3 linked regions of the Saccharomyces cerevisiae S288C genome follow. The main gene of each other region encodes a partner of the protein of the gene in region 2 in a complex. Each region holds a gene or a part of one and is shown on either strand. Other genes may lie near its edges. A codon is read from its position in the direction of its gene.

Region 1 (2,909 bases), on a different chromosome or scaffold from region 2:
AAAAGGATTAGGAAAAAAGGAACAAAGTACGAACAATGTGAAAGCAAATAGAAAAAGAAACGGATGGTTTTTTAAACTCTCTCAACGCTCTTGCGTTTAATCAACTCTTTTGATTAATTTGTTTCACCTGAGACTCTGTCACAGCAGAAAGAAGCAGCGAAAGTAATACTAAGAGGTAAACCACCGAGTAAGCGATGAATCTGGTTTGTCTATTGTCTGTCTCTATGCAATAGCAGGTAAGATCAACAAAAGCGATAATAACAAGAAATACATTAAAAACTTTATGATCCGGAATTAAACGTGGACCCTCGAGCGGACTAATGCTTACATTAGTGTAGGACGGTCGATCCCGGCTTCCATGGAACGGTTGAAAAATTTGGTGCGAAAAAAAAAAAAAAAACGAACAGGGTAGGAAAAAGTAAACTAAAACGCGTCTAGTAAAAATCTGGCGTAAAACTAAAGGTAGAGAAAACCATTTTAGCGACGCTACATTTTTGAGAAATGCGCCTCTTTAGATGACCATCTATGGTTTTTGCATTTATCGTAAATTTTTTTTTTTTTGCAGCAGCAGCAGCATAGTAATGATATATATTTATATATTCAGTTGAGAAAACTTATACAGAAATGATCACTCGGGTTTCTTCTTTGCATACAATTTCGTCCATTCGCGAGCCTTAGCTTTGGCACCTTGCTCATTCTTTATCCAATCTTCAGCGACGTCATTAGCTAGCGGATCATTAGGATTAGGGCTAGCCAACAGTGCTTGAATGGACAGCAGGACGGTTCTGATCTGTAAAGCGGGTGACCAATTAGTTTTAAGCACATCAAGACATATACGGCCCAACCTATCAATATTGGGATGATATATCTTGGTTAAAAAACGTACTTTCGGTGCTTCCATTGGATAGTCGTCAGGCAGATATAATTCTAATTCGAAAATACCGTCTTCATATGGTGACTGTTCTGGGCCTTCGATTGTTACTTGGAAGTAACGTAAGTTGTCGTCATGTGGTTCTGCTGTAATGCCAGGTACTGGGTCACTTACTAATTTCTCAGTTTCCTATATGAAAGTTCACAAAGACTTTGCGTTTTCTGCCCTAGTAGTTTGTTCTGTTGAATTCCCTCCATATGAGCGTTTGCGGATATGGACAAAGGGAAGGCGGAACGCTGCTACAAACTGGACAAAAAAAGCCTTCTTGTTTTGGAAGTTTTGCGTTAGTATGTAAGTTCTAGCCATTATCAAGAGGAAACAGTGTAGAGTGTGACGGCTCAGACGAAAACGTCACTTCAGATTTCGTATATAATCCACTGCTCTTGTTTGAACATACCTTGATTATTCTCTTGGGTAATGATGCCATTTCTAACTATGTTACAATGAACCTGACCTTATTTGCTAATATTGGAAAAAAAAAGAACAGAAGAGTGTAAAGTACTATTCTCTATAGAGGTGTTTTGGTTCGTGGTGGCGCGCCATCTTTCAATGAATCACTTATCCTTTGTTTTAAAAACACCATAATTTCGGGTAACAATACGGATGCGGCATAATTAACTGAACTATTCTCTTTGATGGTTTAAAGGAAAACAAATTCCTGTTAGATGCCCATTATATTTGTTCACATGTAGAGAAGGCAAAGAAAAAACTGCTTATTGTACTTTGGTAATTTTTTAAATGATATTTAAAACGTTAGTATTTTCTGTTCCCGCGGCTCCCGCAGAATCTAATCATTAAGCTTGACTAGTATCAAGCTTTTTTCCTTCTTGTTCTGCATTCAAGTATTTGTTGGTAGTATTTCTAGACATCGAAAAGCTTTTTTAGCCCAGAAAAAAAGAGATGAAACGCTTAAATATCTCAAAATTAACATGAATTTATATTCTGTAAAAAAAGTATCGTCGCAAAATGAGAAATTAATGTTTAGCGATCTAATAGTGATCTTGAATATTTGACTACTTTGTTTGGATAACTTTTTCAGCATTGTCAGCATGCCCAAGAATAACGATTATTTTGCATCCAGATAAATGCTTCCAAGAACCTTTACTAGTTTTGTTTCTTGGTTTTTTATCGTCTAAATAAAAAAAGACGTCCTTGTTAAATTTCTCCCCAGTTGAAAAAAAATGTCTTGTGGCCTATCATGGTTTACTACAAACTGAATTGGAAAAGGATTTTCCTAATAGTTTGATGTCATGTAAAACGCCCTCGTATCTGCAACGGAAATACACAAATAAAGAAATATCAAATTAGCCGCCGACGTGTCATTTTCGTCGTTGTTGATGATCAAATTATCACAGTAAAAAATAGTACGGAATAGCGTACTTGAAAGGAGCATCGTTTAAAACACCGCGGAGGATAAGAAAGAGCCGGTCATTAGCATCCTACCCTTCACATAGTAAAGACTGAACATGACTATACGCTGCTTCAGTCACCTGTTCATAAGCAAATACCATGGATAGAAAAACAATCTCTTGTTACTCGTGTGCATCGAACCAGATTTCTAGCCGGGTAGTTTTGCAACTGAAAAAATTTTCTATTTTTTTTCTCAATCGCATCGCTCGCTAGCAAAGTGAAAGTGAAAAAAAAAAAATGTAAAACTGGGCATTAACCTTTATTGTTTCTGTATTCTTAGATCTTCATTGTGATCTGTTTCAGCGCGAATTCCACCTAGCCTTCTGCAAAAGTTCTTAAGAAAACACGACAGACCATAATGAGTGATAAAAACAGTCGTATCGCTATCGTTAGCGCTGATAAATGTAAACCAAAAAAGTGTCGTCAAGAGTGTAAACGTTCGTGTCCCGTTGTGAAAACTGGTAAATTATGTATTGAAGTCACTCCAACTTCAAAAATCGCATTCATTTCCGAAATCTTGTGTATTGGTTGTGGTATTTGCGTTAAGAAATGTCCATTTGATGCTATT
Region 2 (5,396 bases):
ACTTGAAATTGAAATGTATGATGCATTAAAATACGTAGGAATCCATGACTTTGTAATTTCATCACCTCAGGGCTTGGATACACGTATTGATACAACTTTACTGTCAGGTGGACAAGCGCAAAGGCTTTGCATAGCCAGAGCACTTCTGAGAAAATCAAAAATTCTGATTTTAGATGAGTGTACTTCAGCCTTGGATTCTGTCAGCTCCTCTATCATCAATGAGATCGTCAAAAAAGGTCCACCTGCTCTACTAACAATGGTTATAACGCATAGTGAACAAATGATGAGGTCTTGTAACTCGATTGCAGTTCTTAAAGATGGTAAAGTGGTTGAGCGAGGTAACTTCGACACTTTATATAATAATCGCGGGGAATTATTCCAAATTGTTTCCAACCAAAGCAGTTAAACCCAAAGAAAATATAAAACAAAAAACTAAAACATACTCAAATATTCGAGACTACATTAATAATAATAATAATAATAATAATAATAAGTTTTTACCAAAGAAAAAGTTGTCAAAAGTCATACATATATATATACATATTTAATGTATATATTTAATTTATTTTTTTATTTTGGTTAATTAGTTACTCATAGATGAATGGTAATGAAAGGAACTTCAACATCCTCTCCTTCCTTGTCATCTGCGCAAATTTCGAGAATCATTGTAGATACATGTGCCGGAATATCTTTCTTAGTCACTAATTTAACCAATTGAGTTATTGGTAGATTTAGTCTTTCTTTCAATTTCTTTGGAGGGAAAAATGAGGCATAAAGAAGAGAAACGCCATAAGAAAGCATTGTTATTTCTAACCCTTCATCTTTTTCAAAATGTTCAATTAAATCACTTAATTTAATATCTCCCTTGATATCAAATCTATCCCAAATTTTATCATATTTCTTGTTGTTATATTCTCCCTTTGGTGAAGCAATTGGTTCCGAAAAACCGAAAAATGGCAAAGCTAAATTAACAAAGCCATTCTTATATTGCTCAATATCTGTCTTGTTGTCAATCAGTTTATATAATTCCAAATTGACCAAACCAGTAACCAAAGAAGTGGTTGTTGCGATGGCAGGAATAATACGGCCAGCTATGAATTTGGTCTTTTGGCGATCAGCAGTTTCGATGAAGTAGTTTTGAGCTCTACAGTTAGAACAAGCCGTTATAAATTCAATATGATGATTAGTGTCATCGTCTTTCTCGAAATCTACAGGCTCCAGTTTAAAGCCAGCCAAAGTAGAAGGATCTGGTAGGGATGATACCAGCTGATCAATTTCATCTGAGCCATTAGCCGCGTTGGCATTTGGATCCGGATCATCGTCATTAACTTGAATTTTCAAATTGGCATTTGGAGTAAATTCTGGAATTATCATATGATCGATGACGGACTTATACTCGTCCACGTTGGGTTTAGAATTAGAGTCATCACTTTTAATACCATAATTATAAGCGCGTAAACTAGCACCTGCTACGACAAAATGGAAGTGATCGTTATTGTAAATATCAAACTCTAATGGTGTTGGAGCACGCTTAGCACCGGACCAAAATGGTTCACCGTTGGAAGTCTTGGCATCCTTGGGGAAGTTGAACAGTAACTGCTTGATATCATGGTTGAATTTTTTTTCAAATTCTAACCTTGCCCATTTGATACAATCTTCAAAATTGTGTGGTTTACTAGATAGAGAATCTGAGATGGATTCTAGAACTCCCTTGACATCCCCGCTTTGCTTTAGTGTTTGCTCAACGAAATTCGGTTGTGTCAAGTACATATTAACGTTTTCGGCGGAATCAGTGAAGTAACCTTGGAAAAGAGATTTGGCCCAGGCAATGGTGTGATCAATCTTGTTTGGGAAAGAACGTAGGGTACACAATGGGATAGACTTTTCTGGTGGGTCTCTAGAAGAAGAGTATGATTCAGTCAATCTTGGAATGATGACTTGAGTATTACCTTTAGTACCTAGGGTACCAGATTCTAACAGTGGTTTTCTATAAAACACACAACGGCGATCTACGTATGTTCTTGCGTCGACATTGTCTAGAGCGTTGGTGACAAAATCCAGGCTTTCCCAAAAGGAGTCATTAAATATTTCCTCAGTTTCTGGCCCCACTTTATCAATTTTAGCATTTATCTTGCCCTTCAAATCGGGGTTCATAGCACAAACGGCCTCTGCCGCTACTTCAGATTTGTTCTTTCCGACATCCTTTGGTCTAAACAAGAACTGACGGTTTAAGTTGGACTTTTCGATCGAATCGTTATCCGTAACAACGATGTAACCGTCGGAGCCAGAACCAAGCCCCAAAAGTGCCCAATTTTTCAACATCTCACAACCAATGGCACCAGATCCGACAAGAAAGACCTTTGAATTGGCAATCTTTTTCTGAAAATCCAAACCGAAAACCGCGATTTGATTATCGTAACGAGAGTTTACTGGCTGAGTAGTCTTCTCATTTCTTGGGAAGTTTTTAGGATCTGGCAATGATTCCAAGGAATCAAAGTACATAAATTGCTTTAGCGGAGTAAATTTACCAGAACATGCTTTTAACACTTCTTGTGCCACAAGGCCACCGAAAAATGCTACGACACCCGGTATGTCACCTCTTGCCTGATAGGAAAGCTCTTTGATTAAATCTTCATTAACATCTACACCTTCACCCAGAACCTCCGGTTGCTGAACGGACAAATCGGTGACCAACTTGATTAATTCATTGGCGTCTTCGTCATTCATTGTTCTTGGCAGTTCACCATTATGTCTAACGGCAAACTGATGTAAAGCCTGAAATCCCAAATGCAATTGAGCAGCTCTGTCAAATTTAGCAAAATCCGAAAAAACAAACTCAGGATTGGACAGTTGTTGTTTCAAAGACTTGAATGAGATTTTACGGGGTACTTTGACTTCGGTGAAGATACCGCCCTTCTTATACTCGCCATATTCTTTGACTGAACCAATTCTGAATGCAAAGGGCCCCAAAACCTCAACTTTAAAAAGGGTCCCATCATTCAACTTATCAAGACCTTCTACTTCGGAGAACCTGACAAAATTTCCGTCTTCCAACCCGTGTCTGTTATCATCTAGCATGGTCACTGTTCCATCGGGCTCGATGTCTGAAACCATACCAGTGCGAGGTTCTTCACCCGTTGGGTCCAACACTGTGAACTCGTCACCTAGGTCTACGAAGGTGTTACCAAACAGCCCTCTTGTCTCCGAGGAAATGAATCTAATACCGGAGGAATGGCAAAATTCGTTGATTTTCACCTTATCTTCCAAAGAAACAGTGTCCGTAGCGACAACGACCTGGAATTGACTCAATTGGGTAACATCGTCTAAGGAATCCAGCACATTAACCGGGACATATGCGTTCAACTCTGCCAATTTGGCTCTGGTCACATCTCCTCTCTTTTGACCAATATCCTTTTCGGTCAAAAAGAATTGGGTTGATAAGTCTGCCAATTGAACCGGCTCAGGGTCAAAAACGGTCATAGATTTGACACCTGCCAACACAACGTTCTTCGCTATCTCAACACCTAGCCCCTTCAAGCCGAGAATTAATACGTTGGAGGTTTGCATTTTCAACATTGCTTCCTTACCCAACACATAAAGTTGACGAGAATAAAGACTTTCATCGATTTCTCCGGCGGCAGAGAGACCACTATTATTGCTGCTCATAGCTATAGTTATATGTTCTTTGCTTTGCTACTAATCTTACTTTTTGTTTGCTTATATCCAGCGATTGGCGGTTGCTCATCCTACTTAAAGGCCCTTTTTGATCATTTTCTTTTACCTTTATTTGCCACCCGCACCTTTTGTCACACTACACGAGAATATGCCGCATGGAAGCGTAATGGCAATTCAAGAAAGAGCTCTAATATTATTTACAATCACATGAATACAAGATCATAGCTTAACAAGGAGTGGATAGTCAGTAAAGGCGCCCTAAGCTCTACTAAAAACTGGGCTTTAAAAGATGTTCCTCGTCACTTGAGAATCTGTTGTCCCTATCTGGTTCCTCATCATACAATCCACTCCATCGTTTCTCCCACCCTACTACAAACTAGTGAGGCGAACGAGAAAATAAGAAACACTAAGGCTCGCTTTTCCTGCTGGACAGAGACATGCATTAGTGTTTGTTGTTCTCGCGCCAGTCGCTGTTTTTGCTTGCAAGTGCGACGTCCTCTTCTTCTTCTTCTTCTTTCTTCTTTGAGATGCGTAACAACACAACTACATTTTGTATTTTCCTCCCTTTTATACTCCTCCGCTGGAGTATTTTTTCGTATTTTTCACTTTTTTTGCTTCTTATAGGCCTTTTTGAACTATTTTCTGTTAGGGCTTAAAGAAAGCGCAGCAAATGGCTGATTTTAAATGCTGTTTTCTCGAAAGCAATGCTGATGATGTACCACAAAGTAGTATTTGCGCTTAGCTTGTCGATATAAGTATGCCTTTGAGCCAGTATTAAACTTCCTACTATCTCTTCTGGACCTCACCGTGCTATTCATATCACTGACGACGGAAAATGCCTCTTGTAGTAATCATTGAATGATCATCAATGGCTCGTTGACTCATTCTAATCTATAGCAGATATTAAGGTACGCAAAAAGTTCGACAAGGAGCTGGTCAGTATTAACACATTACCAAATCTGTTTGGTTCTACATAGAACGCCATAAAAGTAAGAAAAAAATGTCTGTGCACGCTGCAACAAACCCAATCAATAAGCATGTGGTTCTAATTGACAACTACGATTCCTTTACCTGGAACGTTTACGAGTACTTGTGCCAGGAGGGCGCCAAAGTGAGCGTCTACCGTAACGATGCAATTACAGTTCCAGAAATTGCCGCCTTGAATCCCGACACATTGCTTATCTCGCCTGGACCAGGCCACCCAAAGACAGATTCTGGCATTTCAAGAGACTGTATCCGGTACTTTACTGGGAAAATTCCTGTATTTGGAATCTGTATGGGCCAGCAATGCATGTTTGACGTATTTGGTGGTGAAGTTGCCTACGCTGGTGAGATTGTCCACGGTAAAACGTCCCCAATCTCTCACGACAACTGTGGAATTTTCAAGAACGTGCCGCAAGGTATTGCTGTGACAAGATACCATTCATTGGCCGGGACAGAATCGTCCCTACCATCCTGCTTGAAGGTTACTGCGAGTACCGAAAATGGAATTATCATGGGTGTAAGACACAAGAAGTACACTGTAGAAGGTGTGCAATTTCATCCGGAATCCATCTTGACCGAGGAAGGTCATCTGATGATCAGGAACATTTTAAACGTCAGTGGAGGCACTTGGGAGGAAAACAAATCATCTCCTTCAAATTCTATTTTGGACCGTATCTATGCTCGGCGTAAAATAGACGTCAATGAGCAGTCTAAAATCCCAGGTTTCACCTTTCAAG
Region 3 (3,510 bases), on a different chromosome or scaffold from region 2:
AGAAAATAAAAATAAAAAAGGTAATGAGGAATTAGATGCAAAGAGATATAGATATAAACACACACACACAAATATATATTTATATACATATGTATGGTGATATATATTCAAAAAAAAAAAGTACAGTAACTTAGAAACTATTAGTGGGACGGATTTGGTTTTCTTATTTCTTTCTTTTTAAAAAACTTTCTTAATATACACGTTTGTGGTTATAAGGTGGTGTAAAGTAATGTAATGATATACACTTTTTTTCTCAATTCTTTACCTTCTTCTTTCGTACGGTGTACTGCGAGAAGTAAAATGGGATGATGAATTAATTTTTCTAAATTTTTCTTCGACACTTAGTTATTTTCTTCTTCCCCTGTCAATCTCAGATTATCATAGGGAAAAATGTAAAGTGCTTTATCGACAACGTATCGCGTATGTATAAATTGATTCATGTTTTGCGTTTGAGCTGAATATGTTTTGTTAAATTTTGTCTTCTTTCTTACTGTTCTTTTTTATATTTTCTTTGAAACTCTTTCTACATCCTCCACATCTTCACTTTCATCTTCAGCCTTGTGGGGTTGTTTCCTATCCATGACGCTGTCGTTATCTATACTATCGTCGTCATCATCGTCATCATCTTCGAATTCGATTCTTTCGTCATCGTCGTCGTTGTCGTTATAGTTGTAAACGTCATCATCTTCAAAGGGGATATGGTTGTTTCCATCGTCGTAGTCGTCGTCTTGTAAAATGACGGACCCGTTCTCATCGTCGTCCAAATCACTATCATACCAAAAATTATCCGCCATATCCTTATTCGATTCTGGTTCATCTAGTTTACTTTGAGATATGTACGCCGATTCAGAAGTGGGCATTATGAAACCTTTAGGGATATCTTGTTTCGATCTTTCCACTTCCATTTTGACTCTTTGCTTGTATTGTTCAGGGTTCTTTCTGTAATCAACAGCGGCATCGACATTTGCTGGCGAGTTGATATTGGGGTCCTCTAATAGAGATACTATAGAGATCAACACACTTTCCACGGTCTGCACGGGGGACCACGTTTCAGCATCAGGTTCGTCGGTCATAGGATCCCCACTTTGATGTAAAATAGAAATACAAAGCCTGCCATCCCTGTAAACGTTTGGATGGTAGATAGCCGGCGTAAATCGAAACTGTGGTGGAGAAAAGGGAAAGTCTTCCGGAAATCTCATTTGAGCTTTGAAAAACCCTCCATGATAAATGGAATCCTCATTTAGCACCATAACACCTATGTTCCAAGTGAAAATATTTGAATCATCCTCTAGTTCTATATGAAATGAGGGAATAGCTTTCTTAGGATCAGTAAGTTCTCTATATTGCCGTAACAGTAAGCTAGAAGCGGTGCTTTTGCGACTACTCATATTTACGTTGTATTGTTCTTTTTTCCTTGTTTGGTGTACTAAAAAATAACAGTCGCTATAAGTCCTAAACAGTAAAGGACAAAGATGTCAGCGGCAGAGAGTATAAAGGAGTACTATTCGACTGAAATAACAAACGCAAAGCTCCTATTATTTTGTAATAGTATGCTCTTTATTGTCCTTCTTAACTTTAAGTTTCTGCTCTTGTTCTTTACAGATTCAAGAGGAAACCAAAAAAAAATCAAAGAAAAAGAATCGAATTTTTCCCAAAATGAAAGTGTAAGGAAAAAAAAAGAGGAGATAGAAAATCCGAAGAACCCCAAGGGACGGACAAACACAAGACGATGCTGCACGTGGTTAGTTTTGTAAGCGCAGGTTACGATAAAGAGCATAAACAAATCATTACTAAGAGCGGTATACAAGAATAAAGTGACAAACAGTTCTCCCTATTTAACGCACTTAACGTAGGTTCCATCATTATGATGCTATTGCCACATCAAATCTCCTTTGGACTGAACCCGCATTAGTAATTGCCCGCTTTTCTTTTCTTCCGCGGGTGGGCCCCATAAATAGAAAAAAAAAGAAAGAAAGCGTTTAAATAAATAGAGTGAGCGGATTTCTATTATCTGAAAACCGGGTTATAATGCACGTGATATGCACGTGGGAGCTGGGCGGCTATTTTTTTCTTTTTCAAATGTATTTGAGTCGTTTAAAATAGCACTCCCCGTTGACCCGCCAACTCATTTTTGTTTTCTCTTTACGGAAAAGGCTTTAAATTAAGGCCCGCATTTTCGGTATCCTTGAGGGAAAAAAACCAAAGAAACCCAAAAAAGACCACAAAGCTGGGATATCTTAATTAGTAGAGAGGGCTTTTAGTTTTAATAGTGTTACGAGTCTCTAAAAATAGCGTAGGCACACTGCCCTGATTCGGACTTTGATCAGAGTTTATTACTACAAAGAGTAATGTTGAATGATTGGGCTGGGTTTTCATAGCATTAACTCTAAGTAATATCATTCAACCGCTCAAGGTTCCTTACGAGCAAACCCATATATGCTCTACAGATAAACATATAAATAGCGTGCATATTCTTCTCTATTCAACTCTTGCTCTGTATAGTTCAATAGAATCTTACAGTACATCACGCTGCAATAGATCTAATCCAAGAGAGAAGCAAAAAAAAAAAGCTCGCTATAAAAATATCATGCAATTACATTCACTTATCGCTTCAACTGCGCTCTTAATAACGTCAGCTTTGGCTGCTACTTCCTCTTCTTCCAGCATACCCTCTTCCTGTACCATAAGCTCACATGCCACGGCCACAGCTCAGAGTGACTTAGATAAATATAGCCGCTGTGATACGTTAGTCGGGAACTTAACTATTGGTGGTGGTTTGAAGACTGGTGCTTTGGCTAATGTTAAAGAAATCAACGGGTCTCTAACTATATTTAACGCTACAAATCTAACCTCATTCGCTGCTGATTCCTTGGAGTCCATCACAGATTCTTTGAACCTACAGAGTTTGACAATCTTGACTTCTGCTTCATTTGGGTCTTTACAGAGCGTTGATAGTATAAAACTGATTACTCTACCCGCCATCTCCAGTTTTACTTCAAATATCAAATCTGCTAACAACATTTATATTTCCGACACTTCGTTACAATCTGTCGATGGATTCTCAGCCTTGAAAAAAGTTAACGTGTTCAACGTCAATAACAATAAGAAATTAACCTCGATCAAATCTCCAGTTGAAACAGTCAGCGATTCTTTACAATTTTCGTTCAACGGTAACCAGACTAAAATCACCTTCGATGACTTGGTTTGGGCAAACAATATCAGTTTGACCGATGTCCACTCTGTTTCCTTCGCTAACTTGCAAAAGATTAACTCTTCATTGGGTTTCATCAACAACTCCATCTCAAGTTTGAATTTCACTAAGCTAAACACCATTGGCCAAACCTTCAGTATCGTTTCCAATGACTACTTGAAGAACTTGTCGTTCTCTAATTTGTCAACCATAGGTGGTGCTCTTGTCGTTGCTAACAACACTGGTTTACAAAAAATTGGTGGTCTCGACAACCTAACAACCATTGGCGGTACTTTGGAAGTTGTTGGTAACTTCACCTC

Evidence for each region.
Region 1: the proteins of UBA1 (region 2) and UBC13 are in contact, whole or in part, in a crystal structure (PDB 6ZHS), measured with the Saccharomyces cerevisiae proteins. Residues at the interface, in NP_012712.1 of Saccharomyces cerevisiae: Asp547 (codon at 2,028), Ser587 (codon at 1,908), Ser588 (codon at 1,905), Arg590 (codon at 1,899), Asp591 (codon at 1,896), Pro592 (codon at 1,893), Pro593 (codon at 1,890), Lys595 (codon at 1,884), Ser596 (codon at 1,881), Ile597 (codon at 1,878), Pro598 (codon at 1,875), Leu599 (codon at 1,872), Cys600 (codon at 1,869), Arg603 (codon at 1,860), Ser604 (codon at 1,857), Phe605 (codon at 1,854), Gly649 (codon at 1,722), Asp650 (codon at 1,719), Leu691 (codon at 1,596), Phe693 (codon at 1,590), Asn694 (codon at 1,587), Phe695 (codon at 1,584), Lys700 (codon at 1,569), Thr701 (codon at 1,566), Ser702 (codon at 1,563), Phe707 (codon at 1,548), Lys712 (codon at 1,533), Thr955 (codon at 804), Met956 (codon at 801), Ser958 (codon at 795); in NP_010377.3 of Saccharomyces cerevisiae: Met1 (codon at 1,358), Ser3 (codon at 1,352), Pro5 (codon at 1,346), Lys6 (codon at 1,343), Ile9 (codon at 1,334), Lys10 (codon at 1,331), Thr12 (codon at 1,057), Glu13 (codon at 1,054), Lys14 (codon at 1,051), Val16 (codon at 1,045), Asp29 (codon at 1,006), Asp30 (codon at 1,003), Asn31 (codon at 1,000), Leu32 (codon at 997), Arg33 (codon at 994), Asp60 (codon at 913), Asp61 (codon at 910), Met64 (codon at 901), Leu83 (codon at 844), Arg85 (codon at 838), Ile86 (codon at 835), Cys87 (codon at 832), Lys92 (codon at 817), Thr93 (codon at 814), Trp95 (codon at 808), Pro97 (codon at 802), Pro117 (codon at 742), Asn118 (codon at 739), Asp119 (codon at 736), Pro120 (codon at 733).
Region 3: the proteins of UBA1 (region 2) and CDC34 are in contact, whole or in part, in a crystal structure (PDB 6ZHU), measured with the Saccharomyces cerevisiae proteins. Residues at the interface, in NP_012712.1 of Saccharomyces cerevisiae: Arg182 (codon at 3,123), Asp200 (codon at 3,069), Arg202 (codon at 3,063), Phe236 (codon at 2,961), Glu584 (codon at 1,917), Ser588 (codon at 1,905), Arg590 (codon at 1,899), Asp591 (codon at 1,896), Pro592 (codon at 1,893), Pro593 (codon at 1,890), Lys595 (codon at 1,884), Ser596 (codon at 1,881), Ile597 (codon at 1,878), Pro598 (codon at 1,875), Leu599 (codon at 1,872), Cys600 (codon at 1,869), Arg603 (codon at 1,860), Ser604 (codon at 1,857), Phe605 (codon at 1,854), Asp650 (codon at 1,719), Leu691 (codon at 1,596), Asn694 (codon at 1,587), Phe695 (codon at 1,584), Pro696 (codon at 1,581), Ala699 (codon at 1,572), Thr701 (codon at 1,566), Ser702 (codon at 1,563), Phe707 (codon at 1,548), Lys712 (codon at 1,533), Pro915 (codon at 924); in NP_010339.1 of Saccharomyces cerevisiae: Lys5 (codon at 1,376), Ser6 (codon at 1,373), Thr7 (codon at 1,370), Ser9 (codon at 1,364), Leu13 (codon at 1,352), Arg14 (codon at 1,349), Tyr16 (codon at 1,343), Arg17 (codon at 1,340), Leu33 (codon at 1,292), Asp36 (codon at 1,283), Ser37 (codon at 1,280), Asn38 (codon at 1,277), Ile39 (codon at 1,274), Phe40 (codon at 1,271), Asp69 (codon at 1,184), Phe72 (codon at 1,175), Ser73 (codon at 1,172), Tyr89 (codon at 1,124), Arg90 (codon at 1,121), Asp91 (codon at 1,118), Arg93 (codon at 1,112), Leu94 (codon at 1,109), Cys95 (codon at 1,106), His100 (codon at 1,091), Gln101 (codon at 1,088), Ser102 (codon at 1,085), Gly103 (codon at 1,082), Asp104 (codon at 1,079), Pro105 (codon at 1,076), Met106 (codon at 1,073).

What each region holds. Positions count from the first base shown.
Region 1 is NC_001136.10:628,325-631,233, reverse strand, and holds UBC13 (E2 ubiquitin-conjugating protein UBC13), read right to left. Parts: upstream 1,359-2,909; coding exon 1,329-1,358; intron 1,061-1,328; coding exon 629-1,060; downstream 1-628. Other genes in the region: RLI1 (Fe-S cluster-binding ribosome biosynthesis protein), read left to right, coding at 2,700-2,909. UniProt on the Saccharomyces cerevisiae protein: Has a role in the DNA error-free postreplication repair (PRR) pathway. The UBC13/MMS2 heterodimer catalyzes the synthesis of non-canonical poly-ubiquitin chains that are linked through 'Lys-63'.
Region 2 is NC_001143.9:37,433-42,828, reverse strand, and holds UBA1 (E1 ubiquitin-activating protein UBA1), read right to left. Parts: upstream 3,667-5,396; coding exon 592-3,666; downstream 1-591. Other genes in the region: ATP-binding cassette a-factor transporter STE6, read left to right, coding at 1-406; TRP3 (bifunctional anthranilate synthase/indole-3-glycerol-phosphate synthase), read left to right, coding at 4,676-5,396.
Region 3 is NC_001136.10:560,940-564,449, forward strand, and holds CDC34 (SCF E2 ubiquitin-protein ligase catalytic subunit CDC34), read right to left. Parts: upstream 1,389-3,510; coding exon 501-1,388; downstream 1-500. Other genes in the region: PST1 (Pst1p), read left to right, coding at 2,588-3,510. UniProt on the Saccharomyces cerevisiae protein: Catalyzes the covalent attachment of ubiquitin to other proteins. Capable, in vitro, to ubiquitinate histone H2A. Mediates the initiation of DNA replication (transition of G1 to S phase in cell cycle).